Linked DNA regions of Alligator mississippiensis. The protein of the gene in region 2 interacts with the protein of the main gene of each other region in a pairwise test. Links are inferred from orthologs where the notes say so. Each region holds a gene or a part of one and is shown on either strand. Other genes may lie near its edges.

Region 1 (7,147 bases), on a different chromosome or scaffold from region 2:
CTTGGTGGTACCACGTCCTGTGACACCAGCCACCAGAACTGGACAGCTCCTTGCGCTCTGCTCTTCCTTATATATTGAAGGGAGCTCGCTGCACTGGTGCTGGACCCCGGACCCAGAGCCTTCCCCCCCTAGGGAGGGGAATCTTACCCCTTCTCTCCTCTGTCACTTCAACTACCCAGACTGCTCCTGAGCATGTTAGTTAATCATTGCAGGAATCAGGTGTTCATCAAGCCCAAGCCTCTTTACTCGAGTCAGAGGCCAAGTGCCAACATCCTCTCCACGGCAAGGGATGTGGTGTCACACAGGGGACTCTAGTGTTGCAAGGAGTGCACAGTGATGGAGCAAACACCTCAGCTTAGCACAAGCCAGTGCAAATGTAAGTCTGCCCAAGCATAACAGCCCATGGGGCTAGTGTGGTTCATGCACACCCATGTCTGTAGCTAGCAGCACACAAGGGAGTGATGTAGCTGGCATCCTGTGCCTCCCCACCCCGCCAAATGGCCAGATGTTTGCATATAGCTAGATCCACTGACAGCAGCCTCTGGCAGGAGTCCAGAGCAGGCACCTTAGCCACTCTGCCACCGGCAGAGGCAGCATGAAATGATGGTTCAGATGAGACTGCCATCCAGAAGGATCCAATCCAATGAGCAATGTGTTGACATGAGGCCTGCAGAACTGGGGCTTGCTTTTCCCACCCTGTCTCTGCCCTGGGTGACACTTATCCATGCAGAGCACCTCTGGAAACACGTGCACATCCCTTGCCATCCACTGGGGCCTGCCTGCCTGTTCCTATGCACCATGACTCTGCACACCCAGCTTTTAACATAGCTGGATTTTAATCACACAATGCAATCTTAATCGCACAACATTCCCTTTTCCTCCTATTAAATCAATGGGCACATAATCTGTGATTATAAATGCACTCATTTTCCCTGAAAGATAATTACAAAGAATGCAGTTGTTCTGCTCTGGGTCTGGTATTTAGATGGTTATTTTTATTGCATCATTTTGCAGGTGCTCCAGCCAGGAGAGAAAAGTTAGCCCAGAAGCTGGCATTGGTCAGCTCCTGCTTTTCCGAATTATTATCGGTGGCAGTACCCTAATACCTGCTCGCACCAGTCAATATCAAAGCCCTGTAGTGACCGATTCTGCCTAAACCCTTGGCCTGGCCACAGATTTTAGCTGCTTCAAATAACATTTTTTCTGTGGAAAATGTCAATAACATTGCAAAAATAGAGTTATTCTCATCAAATTTTTTGGTGGAAAACCTACTTTCCATCCAAAACAGTGATGCTTCCACTTGTCAGGCAGAATTTTGTTTTAAATATCTGATGAAGAACCAGTTTTTTTCAGGAAAAAGGACTGCTTGAAGTGAAAATATGGTTGTTTTTTTTTAAAAAATCATCAAAAAAACACTGGAAGCAGTATTAGAGTGATATTGTAGCCATGCTGGTTCAAGAAATATCAGTATGTGAGTAAAGAGGTTTTTTCCGGGTGAAGGGGGAGGGAGGAGGCTTCTGGTAATGTTGATGTTGTAACCATGCTGGTAAAAATCTTTACACTTTACTGGAAGATATTTTATCACCCCTGTCCAAGACTCTTGCTGTTGTCAGAAATATATTATTTGTGCAAGCAAGAGAGAGGAACAGCGGGACGGGGAGGGCACAGAGCAGAGAATAGATATGATTCGACTAAGGGGAGGCAAGGAAGGCAGTGGCAGGGGTGGCATGAGGACCCTGGCACCCAGGATCGCATCTCATTTACTGATCAACACTGCCCCTCACTAGCCAGTGCTATTCATTAGTCTGCAGGCACGCTGTAGCAGTCTGAACCCCATTTCTGCAGCAAGTGGGCTGTCTTGGGTGCTGTCCTGGAACGGCAGCTCTGCCTCTGCTTTGTGTTTGAGTAAATGGGAAATTGAGCAATGCAATCATTGCAGCGACTTCTATGTTGGTGTTTTAGATACACAGGTTTGCTGGTAAGTCACTGGGCTGGTACAGAGGTATGGTAAGGGACCCGTTTCACAGTGTAAGCTGGCAGGGTGATTCAGGGAAATATATTTGCAATCAGCAAGGTGTCTTCAAGGATTAGAGCTGAAAACTATGAAGAAAAGGAGAGGTTCCTCCCAGTCCTGTAATGACCTGTCTGGATCCCGCCCCACATCTAGGGTGGCCATCATAGAGGACAGTCCAGTTGTCCTCTGTCCTCTATTGATACGAAACCAACTCTATTTTTCTTGAAGAGAAAAATAGAGGCCATAAAGGCGTCAGGTTTCATATCAATAGAGGACAGAGGACAGAATAGCAGAAAACTGGAATGTCCTCTATGATGGCCACCCTACCCACATGCCAACCAGCCGATCCATTGCCCTTTCCCTGGGCATTATTACACCTTGCATAGCCACCTGCACTAGTGCATGCAGCTCCACCGTGCTTGCTCAGAGGGGCTGGTTGAGTGTCCCCCCTCCACCGCTCACATCCTTTGAGGGAGGGGGACACAGAGCTTTGATTAACCTCTTGCTCTCCAGCAGCTGGGGCCAGGCCCTGACCTGTTACATGTCGTGTTGCCCAGTCACAATATGCAATGCCAGGCTTGTTGTGAAACCCAGTTCAGTGGCTGGAGTCCGTTAAGGTCACAGAAATATTTAACTGCAGCATTGCTCGGGGCAGGTCTGGCTCAGTGTGGCAGCTAGAGGGAGTTGTCCAAGGGACGCAACTTTTGGACGCAAAGACCAGCTTCCCCGGGCTTGGCTCCAGTGGGCTTGGATAGAATCTCAATGCAATGATTTCAGACATGTCTCCCCAGGGGACTTTTCCTTGTCAGCCACATCTCTGCATATCAAAGCCTTTGCAGGCACCTTCTCTCCCCCACACAGTCTACAACCCATTTTACTGCTATTCCTTTGCATCACTGTGCTCCTAGAGGTCCCAACTGGAAGCTAAGCCCCAGCTTTGCTGGTTGCTATGTTTCCCAGGGCCTGATATCTTCTAGGTGCTAGGGCAGGAGCTGCTGAGGCCCTGCCTCTGTATCTCCCCCTGAGCTGGGCATGCTCTGGGCTCTCACTGCTGAAGTCTTGGAGCCCTCTGTTCACTGCTGCTGTCTCCGTCTCACTGCTCGATGTCCTGTGCTGCATCAGGGTTGCCTGTGTGGCTGTTAAGAGGCTGCTAGACAATGGATTTGGATGGGATGGTCTGGGTAGGGGGCTGGATGAGAGACCTTCCCAAATCTGACCCCCAATTCTGCAGCAAGGAGACCAGCTGGGCCTTTAAAATGCTGCGTTGTATTTGAATGACTGGGAAACTGAGCCGTGCAATGGGGGCAGCCACTCCTGCACTGGTGCACTGGCGCTGCTTCTAGGGGGAAGTACAGCATTGGGGCTTTGATCCCTTCCAGCCTCCTGCTTCTCCACCGCTCTAGGATCCCCAGCTGTTTCAGCGGTGGGTGTGGTCGAGCCAGGCACAAATCCAGCTGTTCCAGCGGTGGGTGTGGTCGAGCCAGGCACAAATCCAGCTGTTCCAGCGGTGGGTGTGGTCGAGCCAGGCGCAAATCCAGCTGTTCCAGCGGTGGGTGTGGTCGAGCCAGGCGCAAATCCAGCTGTTCCAGCGGTGGGTGTGGTCGAGCCAGGCGCAAATCCGGCTGTTCCAGCGGTGGGTGTGGTCGAGCCAGGCGCAAATCCAGCTGTTCCAGCGGTGGGTTCGGTCGAGCCAGGCGCAAATCCAGCTGTTCCAGCGGTGGGTGCCGTCGAGCCAGGCGCAAATCCAGCTGTTCCAGCGGTGGGTGTGGTCGAGCCAGGCGCAAATCCAGCTGTTCCAGCGGTGGGTGTGGTCGAGCCAGGCGCAAATCCAGCTGTTCCAGCGGTGGGTTCGGTCGAGCCAGGCGCAAATCCAGCTGTTCCAGCGGTGGGTGTGGTCGAGCCAGGCGCAAATCCGGCTGTTCCAGCGGTGGGTGTGGTCGAGCCAGGCGCAAATCCGGCTGTTCCAGCGGTGGGTGTGGTCGAGCCAGGCGCAAATCCAGCTGTTCCAGCGGTGGGTGCCGTCGAAGCGGCTGTTCCAGCGGTGCCCCGGCCGGGCGGGCAGGCTCCGCCCGCGGAGGCAGCAGCCGCTGGTCCCGGGGCGGAGCCGGGGGTGGGGGGGCGGCGGGGCTCCGGCTGCGGACGGCTCCTCTCCTGCCCCGGACGGCACGGACAGCCCAGGTACCGGGCCCGGGAGGGATGGGGTCCCACAACCCGTGCCCTGCGACAGCCCCTGCAGGCACCGGGCGGGCAGGGAGCGGGGCCAGGCAGTGCAGGGCACACTTGCACGGCGCTCGCCTGTGGGGATGCTGCCAGCGCACCCTGGTGCCAGCCTGGCCCCCAAGTCTGCCCCACCGACACACACAGCCGACTTGCTGCCTGAGTTGCACGCTGGACTCGCTCACTGAGACACTGAGTCGCACACGGGACGGGCTTCCTTGCGCACCGAGTGCACACCGGACTAGCTCCTTCAGACACTGGGTCGCACATGGCACGAGCTTCCTTGTACACCAAGCGCACACCGGACTAGCTGCTTCAGACACCAGGTCGCACATGGGCTGGGTTTCCTTGCACACCAAGTGCACACTGGACTAGCTCCTTCAGACACTGGGTTGCACACAGGATGGGCTCCCTTGCACACCAGGTGCACACTGGACTCACTCCCTCAAGCACCAGGTCACACATGGGACTCGTTCCCTTGGACACCAAGTGCACATGGGACTCACTGTGTCATGCACCAGGTCACACACAGGACTCACTCCCTCAGACGCTGAGTCATTCATGGGAGTCATTCCCTCAGACATCAACTCACACACCTGACTCACTCTGCCTTGCACGATCGCTCTGGCTCACATCCCCTTCCTCCTCTCCCTTGCTGCAGGTACCAAGAGGGAAGGATACACCTGAGTGTGCCCATGGCTCAGGTGCCGGGCAACTGTTCCCAGGGCTCTCCGCCAAACAGTGCCAGCTCTTCGGTGGGACCCGAGCAGATCCAACACCTCTTGCACATGTGCAAGGAAGCCAAGAAAGCAGCCTATTGTCCCTACAGCCACTTCCCAGTGGGAGCAGCTCTTCTGACTGGTGACGGGAGGATCTTCTCTGGTAAGTGAGGATGGAGCCGTAACATCTCAGCCGCTTGTCAAGCCGTGCCCTTCCCTGCCTAGTAGAGCTTCTTCCCCTGAGCTAATGTAGCTACACCGCTTCCCTTTGCAGAGCTGGCTTGGAGATCTCTGCAGAGGGCTGCCCCGTGCTCTTTGGACTCTGTTATGTTCACAGCTAACTCAGGGTATCTCTGCATCTGTAGTATGCCACAGAGTTACAACCCAAGTGCCTCTGCATGGGCAGAGACATCTCACATCCACAGAGTGACGCCTTATAGAGGTACAGATGCTGGGTGCCGGGGTCTGGAAAGCAGCAGGCTGTGCAGTAACAAGGTTTGGTCTGTACTACGAGCACAGTACAGTGGAGAAAGCTTTGCTCTGTGCTTTTTGTATCCTTACTTTTTATCTCCCGATGTCACCTCACTTGGCTGCAGGGGGACTCGAGATTTCACCTGTCTTTTCTAAGCTGAGGGTGGTGTTACAGGTTCCCCTAAAACCATAACATGCAAGCCATCACTCATTAAAAAGTGTTAGCCCGTGATAAGTCCCCTCTAAATGTTTTACAGTTGTGTCGCTTTGAGGTGACATTTATCTTTGAACCATTTTACCCGGGTCATCCTCGGGTACTGTTCGAATGCTCTGGGGAGATAAAGCGCTCTTCTCTCATGCCTCCAGCATCTCAGGGTGCACCTCTGTGGGATGGTGCTGGCTGCAAGGTGAAACCCGCTCCCGTCCCCAGAGGTGTGACCCTGACTGCTCTGCACCCAGGGGCAATGCACTTCAACCGTTTGCTGCTTGCTCTGGCACCTCCGTGCAAACAGCAGCAGCAATCGATTCTACTACCTCCATGGTGCTGGGTCGCAGCGCTGCCCTGGCGTGGCATGCAGTGAGCCTGCTGGGTCTCAGCGCTGCCCTGGTGTGGCAAGCGAGCCCGATGGGTCTCAACTCTGCCCCAGGATGGCATGTAATGAGCCCGCTGGATCTCAGCTCTGCCTTGGTGCAAGCACTAACACAAGTCGCCCCTGCCCCAATCCCAATTCAGTGAAACACATGCAAAATTTTGGTCCTTTATTTATCTTCATTGTATTCTCTTTTCCCCCCACTCCGTTCTCTTTACTTCTCCTGCCACCCACTTCACTTCAAACAGCCTTTTTTTCTCCAAGACTTTTATCTTCCCAAGCCAGAGCCCGCACGCTGGTTTCTTTGCCTCCCAGCTACAACCCCCCTGTCCCCTCCTTTCCCACCCCAGAGCCCCGGCTCCTGGCCAGGCCCCTGCGTGCCAGGCTCTCCAGTGACAAGTCACAGCTGTGCAGGTGTGAGAGGGCATAAAGCCTTAACCTGGGACTGCTCTGAAACTCTTCTCACTTTGTCACCGTGTAAAAACCCCAAAAGTAAAATGTCCCAGAAGTGACCTGTAACAGCACCCTGAGTTTCAATCCATATTCAGCCTCCACCTCCTCTTTCTGACAATGGCCTCACCTGCTTCCCCACCCACTCCAGCACTGACTAGGACAGGGAACTAAACAAGAAAGCCTTTTTTTGCATCCCCGCCTTTGGAAAGTCCAGTGCACCCGCTCAGATTGGTGGTGGCAACGGGGAGGTTGTTTCCCTCGCTGTTTTTGTTATGTTTGAAAAGCTGAAGCTCTTCGGAGGCAAACAGTGATGTGAAACTTTGTGTGTGCAGAGAAATGCTCGTACAAGAGGACCCTAAAGGATCAAAGCTTCAAGAAACAAACCACCCGCTCCCCACACACACATGTGCTGCTTTTTAACAAAAGATTGCTTGATTTTTAAGCCAGTCTCATAATTTTTGGGAAGGCAGGCAAGGAGGGGACCCAGATTCCTGACTTGGATCTCGTTGTTTCATTGTGTTCTTCCATCTCTCTGCATTCACCAGTTGATTCTTGTCTTATACCTACATGATAAGCGCTTTGGGGCTGGAACCACCCTTTGCGGCATAGTGAGTTCTGGGGCTGCGACTGGGGTTTTTAGGTGCTGCGGTAGTACAAATACTGATGATTTCTGAATGGTGGCT
Region 2 (7,971 bases):
TGTGCGAATATTTTGGTGAAACAATTATTTTTGCATTTCAAGCTAGTGCAAAATTTGAATGTTGTCATGCTTTCAGTGTGTGGGCATTTTCACCAAAAATGGGCTTATTTGTACCCCACAAAGAGGTTTGCCTACAGGGAGTTCACTGAAATTGATAGGCCTTTGGTCCATGTAATTGATAAGCCATATGGGGTCTACCTAAGCAAATCAGTCTGAAAGACTGGGGCTATATTAAAAGGTAGGCCATGTTTTCAAATTGTCCACGTCTGACAGTATCTCTTTGGATTGCACTCTCAGCAAGATAAGCCTTTTATTATTTGCCTTACTGCATAAAATGACTGCTTGATTTATTATGTATTATGTGCAATGCAATAATTGAATATTCTACAACTTAAGTGAGTATATCATGTCATCCCATATATGTACTGTTTTTGCATTTTGCACAAAAATTTTGTCTTGCAGGAGCGACTGGATACTTCAGACTTTTCACACAGACTATTTCAATTCACTTTTCTGATAAACAAGAACTAAATTGAGCCAGAAACATTTATTTTTCCAGCTCAATACTGCAATAAAGGCCTGCAGTAGTTAACGCCCAAACAAAACTCACAACCCTCTATGAAACAGTGTTCATTTAGTGAAATCGAGGAGGATTCCAAGTGAATAAAAGGAACTGGCAGGAGCAGCAGGAGTATTTTCAGGTGGCAAGCAAAGGCTAACTAATGGACTAGCTTTCCCAGCTTGTTTCAATTTATATTTTTGGAAAATAAATATAGGCTCAGAGTTTTTTGGGTGGATGAGTATAAAATAGTAAATTACTAACAGATTACTTCCTTAAAAAGAATTTTCCAACTCCAGTCTCAGGAAAGAAGTGGATTAGAGTATTTTAGCATAGAACCCCTCACAGGAAAGCATCTTTCCAAATACCTTACATAACCCAAGGATGAATCCTAACATTTCATTTACAGATTATTGCTTTTGGGGTTTTTTTCCAGTACAGATAACGTAAAGTGTTGTTCTTATAAACTATCATGCTAAGTACAGACAGTAAAAAAGCCTCAGGCTAAATCAATTCAATCTTCAAAGGTAGTCTAAGCTACGTAGATTGAAATGAAAAGCAAGTGAACAGACATTCACTTTTGATTCTGGAAATGCAGCAACATGCCTGCAGTGGCCCAAGCCAGAAGCCAAGGGGTGCTAAAGCATACCTTCTTACTTGGCTAGAGCAGACAGCTTGGACCAATGTTAGCCACCAACCCTGCAAGAGGGAGGCGGGTTGCAGGGGAAGTGCAAAGAATCCTGGGATATTGGGGGACTGTGAGTTAACTTGAATCTGGAGGGGATCTGGGACAGAAGTTCAGTAAACCGACTTAACCTAAATCATTTAAGTCTGATACTACATCCATCCAGGTTTACCTTAAACTGGTTTCAACCATTTTAAAGTGATTTATGTGAACTGAACTTCTGTTGTGTTACAGATTTGACCTGGTTTACTATCACTTATACCAGTTTATGTGTAATTTCTGTCCGTAGCCAGAGTTGTCTTGCTACCAGTAGTAACTGCAAGAACCTTACTAAGCAAACAGAAGGATCCCTAGGGAAAGGCTCCATTTTTACAAAGTATCCCACAGTGTAGTTACATGTAAAAACTGATTGGATGATATAGCTCCTACTGAGAACTTGTAAGACCAGATTTGCTATTTTTATTTATGGCTGAATAATTCTGCTAGACATTACTGTAAAGGAAAAGCATGAATTACATCTGTGTTCTGGATACTTTATTTATTTTTAATCGATTCTTATGGATGTTTAAGAAATCTTAGAGGTCAATCAACAAAACCTTTAAGTATTTGCTTAACCTTAGACACCTGCCTATGTCTCTTTGGCTCCAGGTACGTAAGTACTTTGCTGCATATGGATGATTTAAGTTTAAGTTTGTTTAACTGTATTGCTGAATTGGGCCTTAATATTTATATTCCAATATAATTTCAGGACCTGTGAACTCCTATACACATGCTCAGCTTTATGGACGTGAGCAGACGCACTGAAATGAATTCATTATCATGCAAAGGTATGTATCTGAATAAATGTTAACAGAATTGAGACAACTGTCTTTGCCTACAGTATTGCAGCTTGTGGAGGAAAACTTCAGCTGCTTTCAGTTAAAATTTGACTGTAAGACTAACCACATAGAAGACAGTTTGTGCCAAAAGACACCAATCCAAACTGAACTCGTTTTTTAAAAAGGCATTTAAAACCCTGAGACTGGGGGATAGGGCAAGGAAGAATATAGCCCTAATTTACACCAATGGCTTAATGAAATTGCATGAGATGTAAAATGGTGGGGGGAGGGGCAGGAGTGGGGGTGGGTTTACAGAAATTTGCAAACATGCAAACAATTTGTTGAAGCAGTTTTTGTTCAATAACTTTTTCTCCATACACATCAATTCACTTTTAATATTCTTCACCAAAGACTTAAGTTTTCTCAGGAAAAAGAAGAAACAAAACGAGACTAGCTAACAGAATTTAGTGAACTAAGTTTGCTACTATCCTTGGCAGCTAGACTAGTATTTTAAAACCAGTTAGGATAGAATGCAGTAACACTGCAATTAAGTTGCAAGGCCTTCTTTCTTTGAGAATGCATCAGGTTACAGAGGGACTGAACCATAAATGTATGCTGCAGTGAAAATTCACTGCTGTTTTGCTATGGTTTTACTTCATAGTTACAAAGGCCCACACTTAAAAGTTTTGTTTCTAAAAAAGTATAACGCTTGTTCACATGAGTATTTCCTTTCACATTTGCTTCTTCAAACAAGTGAGAGACAATTGAATAATAAAAAGTCAAAACAGAAGATGGTTTATACTTACCTCTCTGTCGTCCTGTGCCTTTGAGTCATATATGGGCTTGTGGGCTGTGACCAGCTTTCTGTAGGTAGAAATCAATGGACTTTAGCAGTTGAACATGCTGCCCAACAACAGAGCATTAAGACTCAATTTGATCTCTATAGGAAGAAAACTTTTATTGGTTGTGGCACACAAGGAAATGGGTGACATCACTAATGGTAGTAAAGAAAAGCCTCACTGCATAAACCTAAGTAATTTAAGGTTCAGCAAACCGCGCCCTACCTGTCATTTATCCTAGAGGCAGGGTGGCTGCACATACCTGCATGCACAGACTGCTTAAACAATTGTTTGCAGCTTTTCCTTTTCCTTTGAACATGCATTCAGCTGCATTTTGAGTTACATTTTCCCTTATTGTGTGACCTTCTTGCCACTAACTCTGAATCAGAGCTGAATTAAAAAGCCTAGAAATTGAATCAGTGGCAAATTATTTTGTCCCGAACTGGTCTGACACTGGCAAAGCTCGCTGAGATCTTTTGTGCCATTTTTAAAATTTCTTTACAGGGCAAAACATAAGACATGATAAGTTCTTAATTTGCAATACCCAGGTGTCAGGAACATCAGGTTGGGTAGGTTTGTTTTTTCCTGCTTTTTACTGAAACACCTCTGGGAGGATTGTGAGCACATTCATTGTGAAAGCCTAAACCTTAACTGCCAGGACAAGTGAGCTGACTTTAAACAAAGACTTCTCTTGTGCATAATGTTAGCCAGTCATTGTAATTACACAGGTGTTAGTAAAAACAAAGACTTTTTAATGAGTTTGAGTAGAAATCATTTCTGTTCCTCAACTTTCACTTCCTCAGCCTTGCAATGTGACCACTTCACTAATTCTCCAGTCATTATAGAGCTCTCAGACAGAGATTGTTCTAATAGAAAAAAAAAGCAGGAAATAAAGTGTAAAAATACCTCATAGACCTTTCAAGCCTTTTTTACATAACAAAGGTACAAAAAACCAAAACAAGCCCTCCCCTCGCTCCATACCCTCTTGTCCCCGCCTCCTCCCCCCCCCCACACAGCTATTCTGCAGGACACTTAATTTGCATGCCTCAGTTTATCTATGTATAAAATAGGATGGGTATCTTTTTACAGGTACATATTTTAATGCCTTTAAAACATTTCAGTATCTGCAGAAGAAAGGTGTAGTGTAGGAACTAAATATTTTTTTAAAAGATATTTTTTTCATGTCTTCATGACTCCATCAGCGATCTGGAATATGGCATAGAGTGCATCCTCAGCAAGTTTGCAGATGACACCAAGCTGGGGGGAGCAGTTGATACAATGGAGGGTAGGGCTAGGATTCAGAGTGACGTAGACAAATTGGAGGACTGAGCTGAAAGAAATCTCATGAGATACAACAAGGAGAAGTGCAAAGTCCTGCGCTTAGGACAGAACAATCCCATGCAGGCTAGGGACTGACTGGTTAAGCAGAAAATATATCTGCAGAAAATGACCTGGGGGATACAGTGGACAATAAGCTGAATATAAGCCAACAGTGTCCTTGTTGCAAAGGAGGCTCACAGTATACTGGGCTGCATTAGCAGGAGTGTTGCCAGCAGATCAAGGGCAGTGATTATTCTCCTCTATTCAGCACTGGTGAGACCACATTTGGAGTACTGTGTTCAGTTTTGGTTCCCCACTAGAGAAAGGATGTAGAGAATTTGGAAAGAATCCAGAGGAGGGCAGTGAAAATGTTTAGAGGACTTGGGCATGTGACATTTAAGGAGAAGCTGAGGGAACTGGGATTATTAGTCTGGAGAATAGAAGACTGAGGGGGGACTTAATAGCAGTCTTCAACTATCTGAAGGGTGGATACAAAGAGAATGGAGCTAGAGCAGTGGTTTTCAACCTTTTTTCATCTGCGGAACCCTAAAATATTTCAAATGGAGGTATAGACTCCTTTGAATTGTAAATGTGGGTATTCACATACTTTTGATTGATCATAGTAATCTTTTGCGGACTGCCTAGACATAGTCTCTGGACCCACAAGGGGCCAGGGACCACAGGTTGAAAACCACTGAGTTAGACTGTTCTGTGGTGATAGATGATAGAGCAAGGAGCAATATCTCAAGCTGCAGCATGGGAAGCTTCAGTTAGATATTAGGGGAAATGTTCTCATTAGGAGGGTAGTAAAGCATTGGAACAAGCTACCCAGAGAGGTTATAGAATCTCCATCCTTGAAGGTTTTTAAGACCCGGGTAGACAAAGCCCTGGCTGGGATGATCTAGTTGGGGATGGTCCTGCTATGAACAGGGGTTGGACTAGATGACCTCCTGAGGTCCCTTTCAACCCTAATTTTCTATGATTTATGAAGTAAAAGCACAATTACTTGAAGTTTTACTAATATGCTAGGGACATAGCACTATAATATTTAGCTTAAAATCAAAGCAAGAACACATATAATTATTGGAATGTGCACTAATTTGCTAGCTTCTATATAAAATTTAAAGAAAAACTAGGCAAAAATAGTTAAAATAGTCAAAAGATATTGTGTCATTAGTTCTGTAGTCACTATAGTTAAATGCATATCTTTGATTCAGATTCATAAAAACAAAATCTAGCCTTGAGTGTCTTGACAGTATCTCCAATACTTTACTGTCAGTTATTTCTACACCTGTGTTAATAATACCACACCTGAGTAAAGGTTTTTATCTAGTGCTAAAAACAAATTTGCAGGGCTATTAAATAGTCATTTCTGGTAATGTCTCTCTTCTAACAGACCATAAAACTGCAGAAGAAAGGATTGTTTGAATAATGAAACATCAAGACCTTTAAAAAGCATCATAGGCAACTGGTAAGGGGGTACATGGGGGTGCACATGCCCCCCCTTATGGGGCTGGTGCCTTCCCTGATGGCCGACACTAATGCTGTAGGCAGGGCTGGTGCCCCCCCATGACAGGGCCGCCTCCAGATTCAGGAGGCACCAGTCACTCATGAAATGGATAAATAGTTATTAACACCTGTGGAGTGGAAAAAGATAAGCAGGAATCAGGGAGATGACAATGAGCCACGAAGTCAATTGACTCTCTCAGCACTGGTTGAATAGAAATGTCACTGCCCTTCCCAACCAGTTGGTTTTAAAGTTTGGGTGGAGAAGAAATTGAGGGAGTAGAGGAGGGTGCAACTGAACCACTGCACCCCACTGGGTCTACCCCCATAAATATTTGTTTTTGAAATTGTTTCCATCAATCCCCTCAACAGAATGCAATAGTTGTATATTATCCAAATTCACAGAGATACTTTCCCCTTTCATTTTAACATTAGATTTCAAATGTGAAAAAGCTCTACACTTGTTCTGGGGGTGATGCATTTGGTCAGATGCCACTGACCAATAACAGCATATGAGTTGAGTAGTTTGTATGGTTCAGGTTTGAACCATATGAAAAGGCAGAAAATAAAAGCAATACCTGTATAGAAAGTGAACTCCTTAGGAGCAAATAGCTGACAGCGCCAGCCAACCATTTTTTGGGTCTCCCTGTAAGAAATAGTTTTGGGGCCCCCTACCCTGAAGAAGCCAGCAGCGGCGTTGACAGTGGGGGTGGGGGGAGGGGTGGTGAGTGGCTGGACGTGAAGCCAGTGGCAGTGAACAGCCGGACGTACACACGCACCCCCCATGAGAAAGTCTGAGTGGGGGAAGGAAAAGGGCCATGTGGGGGAGCGGCATTGCCTGGTGCTGCACCCCAGTCCCGGCCACCTCCCAGCCCCAGCCCTGGCTGCCTCCCAGCTCTGGCTGCACCGGCCTCAGCCCTAGCTGCCTTTTAGCCCTAGCCACACCAGTCCTGACCCTGGAAGCCTCCTAGCCACACTGGCCCTGGACCTGGTTGCCTCAGCTGCCTCCTGGCCCTGGCACCTGTCCCAACTGCCTCCCAGCTGCACTGGCCCAGGCCCCAGCTGCCTCCCCACACCGACTTTCTCCCCACCATGGCTTCTACCCCACCCTGGCCCTGGCTGCCTCCCCACACTGGCCAGGGGTGCCCAGAGCTGGGGCTGAGAGCGGGGTCAGCCTTGGCTGTACTGCCAGACTGGAGTGGATGGAGCCCCTGGGACCCCTGCGCCTGCCCTGCTGCACCCTGTGTCATCCCCAGGAAGAGCCAGTAGCTCCTCCAGAGGCACAGCACTGGGCAGCTAAGGAGGGGGACAGCACATAGCCCCCTTATCTTTGCATGGGTGAGGACAGGCTACAGCTGTGAGCTTGGCACAGCCCTATGTCTCTGTGCCTCACCACTTAGAGAGACGGGGCACAGGTGGTCATCTTGTCCATCCTCCCGGTCAGAGGTTGCAGTAGGCATCACAGCGCCTGCATCAGAGAGGTCAACCTGCGGCTCAGAAGTTGGTGCCATAGCGCAGGATTTGGTTTCCTGGACCACGACCCACACTTCCTGGCAAGGGACTTCCTGGGGTGTGATGGACTTCACCTCTCAGTGAAAGGTTAAAGTCTTTTCTCTAACAGGTTGGCTGATCCCTTACATCGGGCTTTAAACGAGCTCAGATGGGGGACAGGGAGGAAGAAGAAGGAGAACATCAGGAACCTGCAATCCATGGAACAGCCAGCAGAACAGCACAGGTAAGCAATAAGCAGGTAAGCAATAAGGGGCCCATTGGGCATCAGAGCCAGGGGGCAACAAAGGTGCCAGTCACAGGGCTCAAGTGCCTATACACCAACGCTAGGAGCATGGGGAACAAGTAGGATGAACTAGCACTCCTGCTTGCAGAAAACACTTATGACTTAGTCGGGTTAACAGAAACCTGGTGGCACTCTACCCATGACTGGGCAGTACACATTGAAGGCTATAAGCTGTACAGAAAGGATAGAGTGGGGAGGAGAGGGGGAGGGGTTGCGCTCTATGTCAATGAGTGTTATACATCGACCCTTATCAAAATGGAATTGGAGGAGGAGAATGTAGAAGGATTGTGGGTTAGGATACATGGAGTCAAGGGGAAAGAGATTTGGTGGTAGGGGTCTGTTACAGACCCCCACACCAAGGGGAAGAACTAGATTTGGAACTCCTGAGGCAGCTCTCAGAGACAATAAAGACTAGGGAGGCAGTAGTCATGGGGGACCTAAACTACCCT
Region 3 (7,377 bases), on a different chromosome or scaffold from region 2:
GCTTGGGCAAGGAGGTGGGCTTGGGCTTGTTCTCTGGAACTGGGGCAGCAGCACATGGCCAGGACAGCCAGGCTGCCATATGATGGTGGGTCGCCTTTGTGAGCTAAAGGAGATACCTATGCATTTGGGATAGCTCAGACCCAGGGAATTCCCCTTCTCTACTAACAGGGTGTAACACGCTGCAATTTAAGTTCACAGGGACCCCTGTGCCAGGCCTAGACAGGCCCTGCCCAGAGGCAGTGGAAGAAAGTTTGAGGTGGGATGTCTCCTTCTCCACCCTGTTGATCGAAAGCACCCTCCTCTGCTTAACTGGCTTGTCATTTGCCTCTGGGGGAGGGAACGTTTTCCCTGTGGGCTGATGCCTGGAAGGACAGACAGATGGAGAAGCTGCTCCCTTTACCTTGCAGCGCCCACATGTTGTACGAGGCCAAGTGGCTGCTGAAGGTCTCTCTGGTGCTCACAGGGATGGTGGGCCCAGTGATGCTGGTCGACGAGCCGATCGTCACGTTATACCTGGAAGAGTTGGATGTATGCTGGCATCAGGAACCCCACTGCTGTGGCAGGCTGGGCTCGCTGCATGCCCCCTCCAGCCCAGCATCCTAAGTCTTGCGACACCATCCTCCCCTCCCTGTTTGCTGCTGGGCACCTGAAGCCATTAAGACCAGCCTCTGTCCTTCAAAGCCTCCTCAGTACCCCTCTATGCCCTCCTCTCAGGGCTGACGAGCTGAACACACAGCACACTGGCCCACTGCCACCAGTGCTCATCTGAGCTATTGCAGGGATGAGCGCCTTAGGCACACTGCAGAAAAGACAGAGCCTTTGGCTTCCTACCTTTTCTCGGCCCACTCGATCATGGGGTCCCACTGGTTCCTCTGCAGCTCCACCAGGGTAGCTGGCTCCTCCACCCTGTAACTAGGACCACCAGAACCGACCGTCACAGACAAACCACCAGCTGTCTTAATGCCACGTGCCGCAAAACCCCCCTGGAAATGCAAGCCCCTTCCTGGGCTGGCAGGAGATGCCAGCTTGCAAGGAGCACAGGGCTGCCCTCAGTTCCACACTGGCAGAAGCTGCAGGCCCCACAGGGGCCACCTGCGGGCGCAGCTACCTGCCAGCCCAGGTACCACGTGGAAGGGATGCAGCCTGCTTCTGCTCTGTGGTAAATCCAGCAATGTTTGTGGGGCTCCAGTGGAACAGCGTTCACAGGTCAGGCAGCCAGCTCAGGCCCCAGCATGAACAAACCCATCAGGCCACCTCGGAGCCCCAAAGCAGCTCAGGCAGGTCTCTGCTCCGAGTTTAGCCTAGAGGCCAAGGACTGGTCCAGCCCTCAGCAGTCCCAGAGCTCAGGGGCAGGAATACGGGCTCAGCTGAGGTAAAGGAGTGCTCAGGGCAAATGCAGGGTAACACCAAGCGCAGACAAGGAAAAAGGCAATGCCGCGCTAGCAGATACTCAGGACCACCGGCAACATCTCATGGGGAGAAGCGCAGGCCTGGGAGAGCTCCTCAGGGGCACAGAGCGGGGAGGAGATAGAGGCCTGTTGGTGCAGAAACAATGCAGGGTGGCTTGGCTCGAATAGATCCTCTTGGAAGGGATCCCGAGTCCCACCACAGCCGGTCCGGCCTGGCCTGGCCAGGTGTTCCCCCAGCGAACAGCAAACCCGGCAGGTCTCCTACCAGATTGTGTCCGTTTCCAGGAACTTAACAGCCGCTTGGATGAGCTGCGTCTTGTCCCGCTGGGTTGGGTTGTCCAGAGCCGTGTTGCAGAGCGTGGTCTGCAGACAAGAGGCAAGAAGCAGAGTTTCACAGATGTAAGGGGCTGGAAGGGACTTTGCAGTATCATCGGGTCCAGCGCCCTGCACCCGGCAGGAAAGACAACGGGGGGTCAGACGACCCCAGCAAGGAAACCAACCAGTCTCCTCTTGAAGATTTCCAGGGTAGGCGATTGCACCAGCTCTGGAGGGAGCTTATTCCACAGTCCGGACGCCCCAACCGTGAAAAAGTTTTTCCTAATGTTGAGCCTGAAACAGTCTTCCAGGAGTTTATGGTCATTACCCCTGGTTTTCCCCAAGGATGCCCTGGTGAAGGGTTGCTCACCAAGCCCTTGATGTACTCCCCTAATGCAGCAATAAGCTGCTACCACGTCCTCTCCTAGCCTTCTCTCTCCCAGGCTGAAGAGGCCCAGGTCCCTCCGCCTCTCCTCGCACGGCTTGCCGCGCAAGTCTCCGATCTCGCGGGCGGCTCTTTGGACTCTCTCAAGCTTTCCCACGTCCTCCTTGAAGCGCGGCGCCTGGGACGGGATGCCGCGCTCCAGCTGTGGCCTCACGGAGGCCGAGCAGAGCGGAAGAATCCCCTCCTCGGCTTCGTTAGGGAGGCCGGAGAATTTCACGAGGCCACGGCCCCTAGCAAGGGGCAGAGGAGAGACCGAGCCGTGATCTGCGCGCGCGGGGGCAGCAAAACAGTCGTGGCAGGCGCGTCCCGGGACGGGACGGGACGGCCGCGGCGCTCACCAGGTGCATGGCGTAGAGCTGGATGGTGTCCTGCTGGGCGTCCCACTCGGCTGCCACGGCCACGGCCAGGGCCTCGCTGGGCACCGCGAAGAGCTTGGCCTGGGGGGTCCTCAGCTTCCGCTGGTCCAGGTTGATTTCGAAGCCCCCTGGGCGGGCGGGCAGAGGGGGAGGTCCGCGGGGCCGCAGGGAGGGAGGGCGGGCGGGGGAAGGGGCCGCTCACCCTCCCCCCGGCCCCACTCACCTTCGCCCCGCGAGATGCCCACGCGCTTGTAGAACCGCTTCCGCTCTGCAGGGAGACAAGGGCCCGTGAGAGCGGGGACAAGGCCCCGTCCCGACCCACCCGGCTCCTGCCCCTGCCCCGGCACCTGCGGGCGGCGCGTAGCCCCGCGCCGGGCGAGGAGGAGGAGGAAGCGGCGCCCGCAGCAGCCGCCGGCAGCCGCGCCACATCCCCGCGGCCCGCTCAGGCGCCGTCCCTGGGCGCCGCCATCTTGCCGCGCCGCGGGGCCAATCCGCCTCACAAACGCGCTTTGTGCCTCGCGCCGCCCCGTCCCCGCGCCGGGAGTGGAGGCGGGGGAACTACGCGTCCCGGCGGCCCCCGCGGCGCGCCGGCGCCACGTGACGGGCCGGCGGGCCAATGGGAGCGCGCGGCGGCGCCAGGCCGAGCGGCGGGCCGGGGCCGGGGTGGCCGGGGCGGCCGGGCCGGGCCGGGCCGGCGGGCGGGGCCGGGGCGATGCCGGTGCGCAGCGAGTGCTGCTGCGCGGGGGGCGCCGGGCGCGGGGCCGCCGCCAGCCTCGTGCCGCCGCCGCCCATCAACACGGCGCAGCCCGGCGTGGCCACCTCGCTGCTCTACAGCGGCGCCAAGTTCCGCGGGCAGCAGCGCAGCAAGGGCAACGCCTACGACGTGGAGGTCGTCATGCAGGTGCGCGCGGGGGGCGGCCCCCCTTCATGTCAGCCTCGCTTCATTTTAACTCCCCCCCCCGCCTGCCCCATTCCCGTCATCTGCCCCCCCCCCACTCCTGGGGGCACCCCCCCCGCTACCTGCCCCTCACTGCCTGCCCCAGCTCTGCTGTCTGCCCCCTGCCCCCCAGGGAGATGCCCCAGGGCAGTGGGCCCGGGGGCTGAAGCCGGCGCGGGCGGGGGGCTGCTAGGTCCCCCTCCCTTTGCCTCCAGTGGGGCTGGGGGCCGGGGCGTCCCCAGGGCGCTCCTCGGGCCAGGCCCAGCCGGGGGCACCGTGGTCTCTGCCGGCCGCGGCCGGATCAAGGGGATCCTCGTCCCCGCAGCCTTCTGCGGGGTCACCGTCCGCCCGGCTTTTATTTTTAGTCGCGGGCGCGACGGCCTTGGGCAGCGCGGGCGAGCCGGGGGGTCGTGTGGAAAGAAGCACGTTGGATATCCGATCCTCTCGTGAGGCCGCCTGTGGCTTTGTTTCCAGCCGGCTGCGGAGGCACGGCCGGCCCTCGGCCGCCTGCAGCGAGTGCGTGAGAGCGGCCGGTGCCCGGGCAGGGCGGTCGAGCAATGTCCGAGTCCCAAGGTCAGCCGACCTGCCGAGGGCTTGGACCGCCCTGTCGATCCTGGCTGACCGCGCCGCGCTTGTCAGCCGCACGAGCGTACCTGAGCCCGCTCGTTTCAGTGGAGACATCCCATGGTGGATGGGCCTCACTACAGGCCCTTTTTCTCCCAAAGATTGCCGGGGCTCCCGGCTTTAACCCTCGTGTCACGCGTGTGCACGTCCATGTTCGTGTGTCTGCCCGTGTCCTCCGTGAGACCTGCAGCTGTTCCATCTGTAGAGGTCCCGTGTGGGAAAGGTCCTCCTTCCCATTCAACGCCTGCGTTTTCCAGACTCTTCCACGTGCCTGGAGATTTCCCTTGGTCATTTGGAGAGTCCAGAGCAAAAGTTTCTGTAGCTACCGCGGGGCTCGTGATGGAAGAGCTCAGTGCCTTGCTTCTCTGTGGCAGGTGGATTCGGTAATCGGGTGTAAGCCCAGTCACAGAGAGGAGAGAAAGCAAAGTATTGGGATTGTGAGTAAGGCACTTGAGGGTACGCGAGGGCTGCTTCTGAAGGCAGAGGATCCCAAGAAGGCTGTTGTGTGCAGCGCAGATGGACAGGCTCGTAAAGGGCCAGACATGGTGTCTGGGTGGGTAAAGAGCAGAGGTTGGGAACGCTGCGGAAGTGAGGAGAGATGACGTGTTAACAGAGTTGACTTCAAAGCCAAAGCTGGCGGTCAGGGCCAGGGGAAGTGGAGACAGATCTTGCTTGAGGACATCCCCTCTGGTCTCTTTGAACCACTGGTAGCATGTGGCTGGAGCAGGTTTAGGAGACAAGGATCTCATCCGAGATCTGTCTCTGAGGCACTGGGGCCGAGTGAATCACTTCTGACTCCTTTTCCTCTCTGATCCCTGGGTGGCAGACCAAGGTCTTACTAATTTGCTGGAAGCAGGTAAGATGTTCCATGGTCGTCTGGTCAAGGCTGGTGAGCGAGGTCCCTGGAAGTGATTCATTCCATGTTGCTCACCGCTGTGTGATCTCGCGACCCAAGCTGAGCCGTGCAGCCCTGGCTGAGCCTCCGGAGCCGTGTGCTGAGGGGACATAGGCTCACGAACGGTTTCTGTGCTCTCTCCCCCAGCACGTGGACATGGAGAACTCCTACCTCTGCGGATACTTGAAGATCAAAGGCCTTACAGAGGTGAGCACCTCCTGCAGAGGAACTAGGAATCTTTTTCTCCTTCTGGAAGCAGGGAGTAGGTCTCTAGACACTGGTCTAGCAGGGCAGGGCAGGGCTGGGCCTTGGAGACTACTTGATTCAAAGAGGCCTGAGCTTTCCTAAGCAGCAACCTAATTTGCCAGACGCTAGGAGTGCACTGGTCTGATGAAATGTCTGGTGAAGTAGGTTGTTGCTGACAAAATCTCATGCCTCTGAACTAGGTAGGCTCTCAGGTGCCACCCTGCCTTCACTCCAGACTAACGCAGTCAACCACCTCGGTGTCGAGGGATAAAGGTCCAGCCGGCTGACCCGCAGCAAAGCTGGTGTAATGAGCAGTCACCTGCATTTGGCGGCATTGCTGTGGGAGATGAGTGTAACCAACTTTGTGGAAAACTTGGGTCCAAATTTGTCCCTGATGTCACTTTGAGTGCTGTGCTGTGACCAGTGAGCTCGCTACGAGCATCTCTATGTTGCTTAAATTAAAAACAGACAGGTAGGAGTTTCTTTGACCTCCACCTTTCCACCCTCAGCATCTTGGAGCTGCTTCTGTTTTCAGTAGATGTTCAGCAAGGTGACTGGGGTAATGCTCTGGTCATCCGATACTGTTCTAATGCTGGTTACAGGCTTCTCCAGGGGCAGGCTGCCTGCTCTAACAGGTGATACGCAGCAGCTGGCCTCTGCTCTAGGGTCTGCTGAGCTTGCACACAACAGACCTCTGGATTCAGTATTGCTCTGGGATGTTCCAGGAGCAGGGGAAAGGCCTGGAAAGGTGGCTGGGGGAGGAGATGAGAAGGGCTGGGCTGGTGCAAATATACAGGGAAGCATAAGATGATTTGCTCAGCACAAGGAGGGGGCATCGCAGCCGTGTCTCAGACCACATGGCATCGTACTGATGAAAGCATTTGCTGAATGGGTTCCTCATAGGCAGATCTCTGGTGTTTCTGATGCAAGATCTTCCGAATGCCCTTCAGTCCCCTCTGTGTGTGTGTGTGTGTGTGTGTGCTTGCTTCTAGGAGTACCCAACCCTCACCACCTTCTTTGAGGGGGAGATCATCAGCAAAAAGCACCCCTTCCTGACCCGGAAATGGGATGCGGACGAGGACGTAGACCGCAAGCACTGGGTAAGCGAGCATGCTGGAAGCTGCAGAGAGGCTCATAGCAGCCCTGTATGCACCTCGTGGGCAAAGGGGATGTGCCAAGACTTTAAAAAGGGCCGGGGTTGTGCCTGGGGGCCAGAGAGGGCCTGAAACAGTGTTTTGGGGGTTGCTCCACCTTGCTTTCTGCTGCCTCCTTGCTCCCTGGCTGCTACTGTCATTGCCCCAGACCAGACCCCTTGTGTCAGTGACTCGTGCAGTTCAGTTTGCAGGTGGAGGAAGCTCTTTTCTTGGCACTAACAGATGGCATTGGTTTGGCAGTACCTGAGTAGCTGAGTCTGTGCCACAGTCTCCAGGGCAAACAAGCCCTTGGAGGAGCGGCAGCTTTGGGGTCCTCTGATTAGCAGAGGAAAGGCCTTGGCGGGCTCAGAGATGCTGCCAGCCTGGAGGAGTGGCATGGGCTTCTGGCAGATGGGCCCACACCTGGAGGGAGTGTGGTCTTTGGGGGTGCCTCCTCCCTCTGCTTGGCGCAGTGGAGCACCTGCTGTCAACAGTACGTTCCACTGCAGGGAGGGGCAGGCAGAGGGGGTTCTGCCAAGCACAGGCCTGGGAGGGGCGAGGTGCCCCTGCACAGAGCGGGGATGCCGCATGGATCCCTCGCTACCTTCGCCCAGCATGGACTGGGAGGGATGCGTGGTTTACAGCCTCTCGCCTGCGAGCTGCGACTGCAGCCGTTTCCCCAGAAGTGGTGCATGGTGCTGGTGTGATACAGGGCCCTGATGTCATTTGTCCCTATAGGAAGGGCTGACGGGATGCTGGGTTTCTCCAGTCAGTTGGTATGTTTCTACCTGCAATCATTCACTACAAGTGAATCCATTCGTTAGAAAAGGGTCCTTGGTTGGTGGAAGGGGCTGACTCAACACCCCTGGGAATGGAAAGTCATTCATCTCACAAGAGCCATGCTCTCCCAGATGGTCTGCAACCGAATGAGAGCATGGCTGGCGGGGAGGGTTGTGTGTGTGTTGGTGGGGAGGGTTCTCTTTCCGTGGCCTCTATCTGACTGTGCCACTCCATGAG

Evidence for each region. The genes of interacting proteins can lie anywhere in the genome.
Region 1: the proteins of LNX1 (region 2) and CDA interact in binary tests that used the Homo sapiens proteins (3 or more experiments, as listed by UniProt). The two-hybrid records come from large-scale screens. The link is inferred for Alligator mississippiensis from reciprocal best matches to the Homo sapiens genes LNX1 and CDA.
Region 3: the proteins of LNX1 (region 2) and ATPAF2 interact in binary tests that used the Homo sapiens proteins (3 or more experiments, as listed by UniProt). The two-hybrid records come from large-scale screens. The link is inferred for Alligator mississippiensis from reciprocal best matches to the Homo sapiens genes LNX1 and ATPAF2.

Annotation. Positions count from the first base shown.
Region 1 is NC_081836.1:5,533,641-5,540,787, forward strand, and holds the start of CDA (cytidine deaminase), read left to right. Parts: upstream 1-4,135; 5' UTR 4,136-4,192; intron 4,193-4,892; 5' UTR 4,893-4,926; coding exon 4,927-5,113; intron 5,114-7,147. UniProt on the Homo sapiens protein: This enzyme scavenges exogenous and endogenous cytidine and 2'-deoxycytidine for UMP synthesis.
Region 2 is NC_081825.1:59,244,554-59,252,524, forward strand, and holds the start of LNX1 (E3 ubiquitin-protein ligase LNX), read right to left. Parts: upstream 3,001-7,971; 5' UTR 2,869-3,000; intron 1-2,868.
Region 3 is NC_081836.1:54,885,842-54,893,218, forward strand, and holds the start of ATPAF2 (ATP synthase mitochondrial F1 complex assembly factor 2), read right to left. Parts: upstream 3,013-7,377; 5' UTR 2,955-3,012; coding exon 2,873-2,954; intron 2,794-2,872; coding exon 2,749-2,793; intron 2,654-2,748; coding exon 2,508-2,653; intron 1,773-2,507; coding exon 1,675-1,772; intron 913-1,674; coding exon 832-912; intron 514-831; coding exon 401-513; intron 1-400. Other genes in the region: GID4 (glucose-induced degradation protein 4 homolog), read left to right, coding at 3,238-3,426, 5,129-5,188, 6,220-6,327. UniProt on the Homo sapiens protein: Plays a role in the assembly of the F1 component of the mitochondrial ATP synthase (ATPase).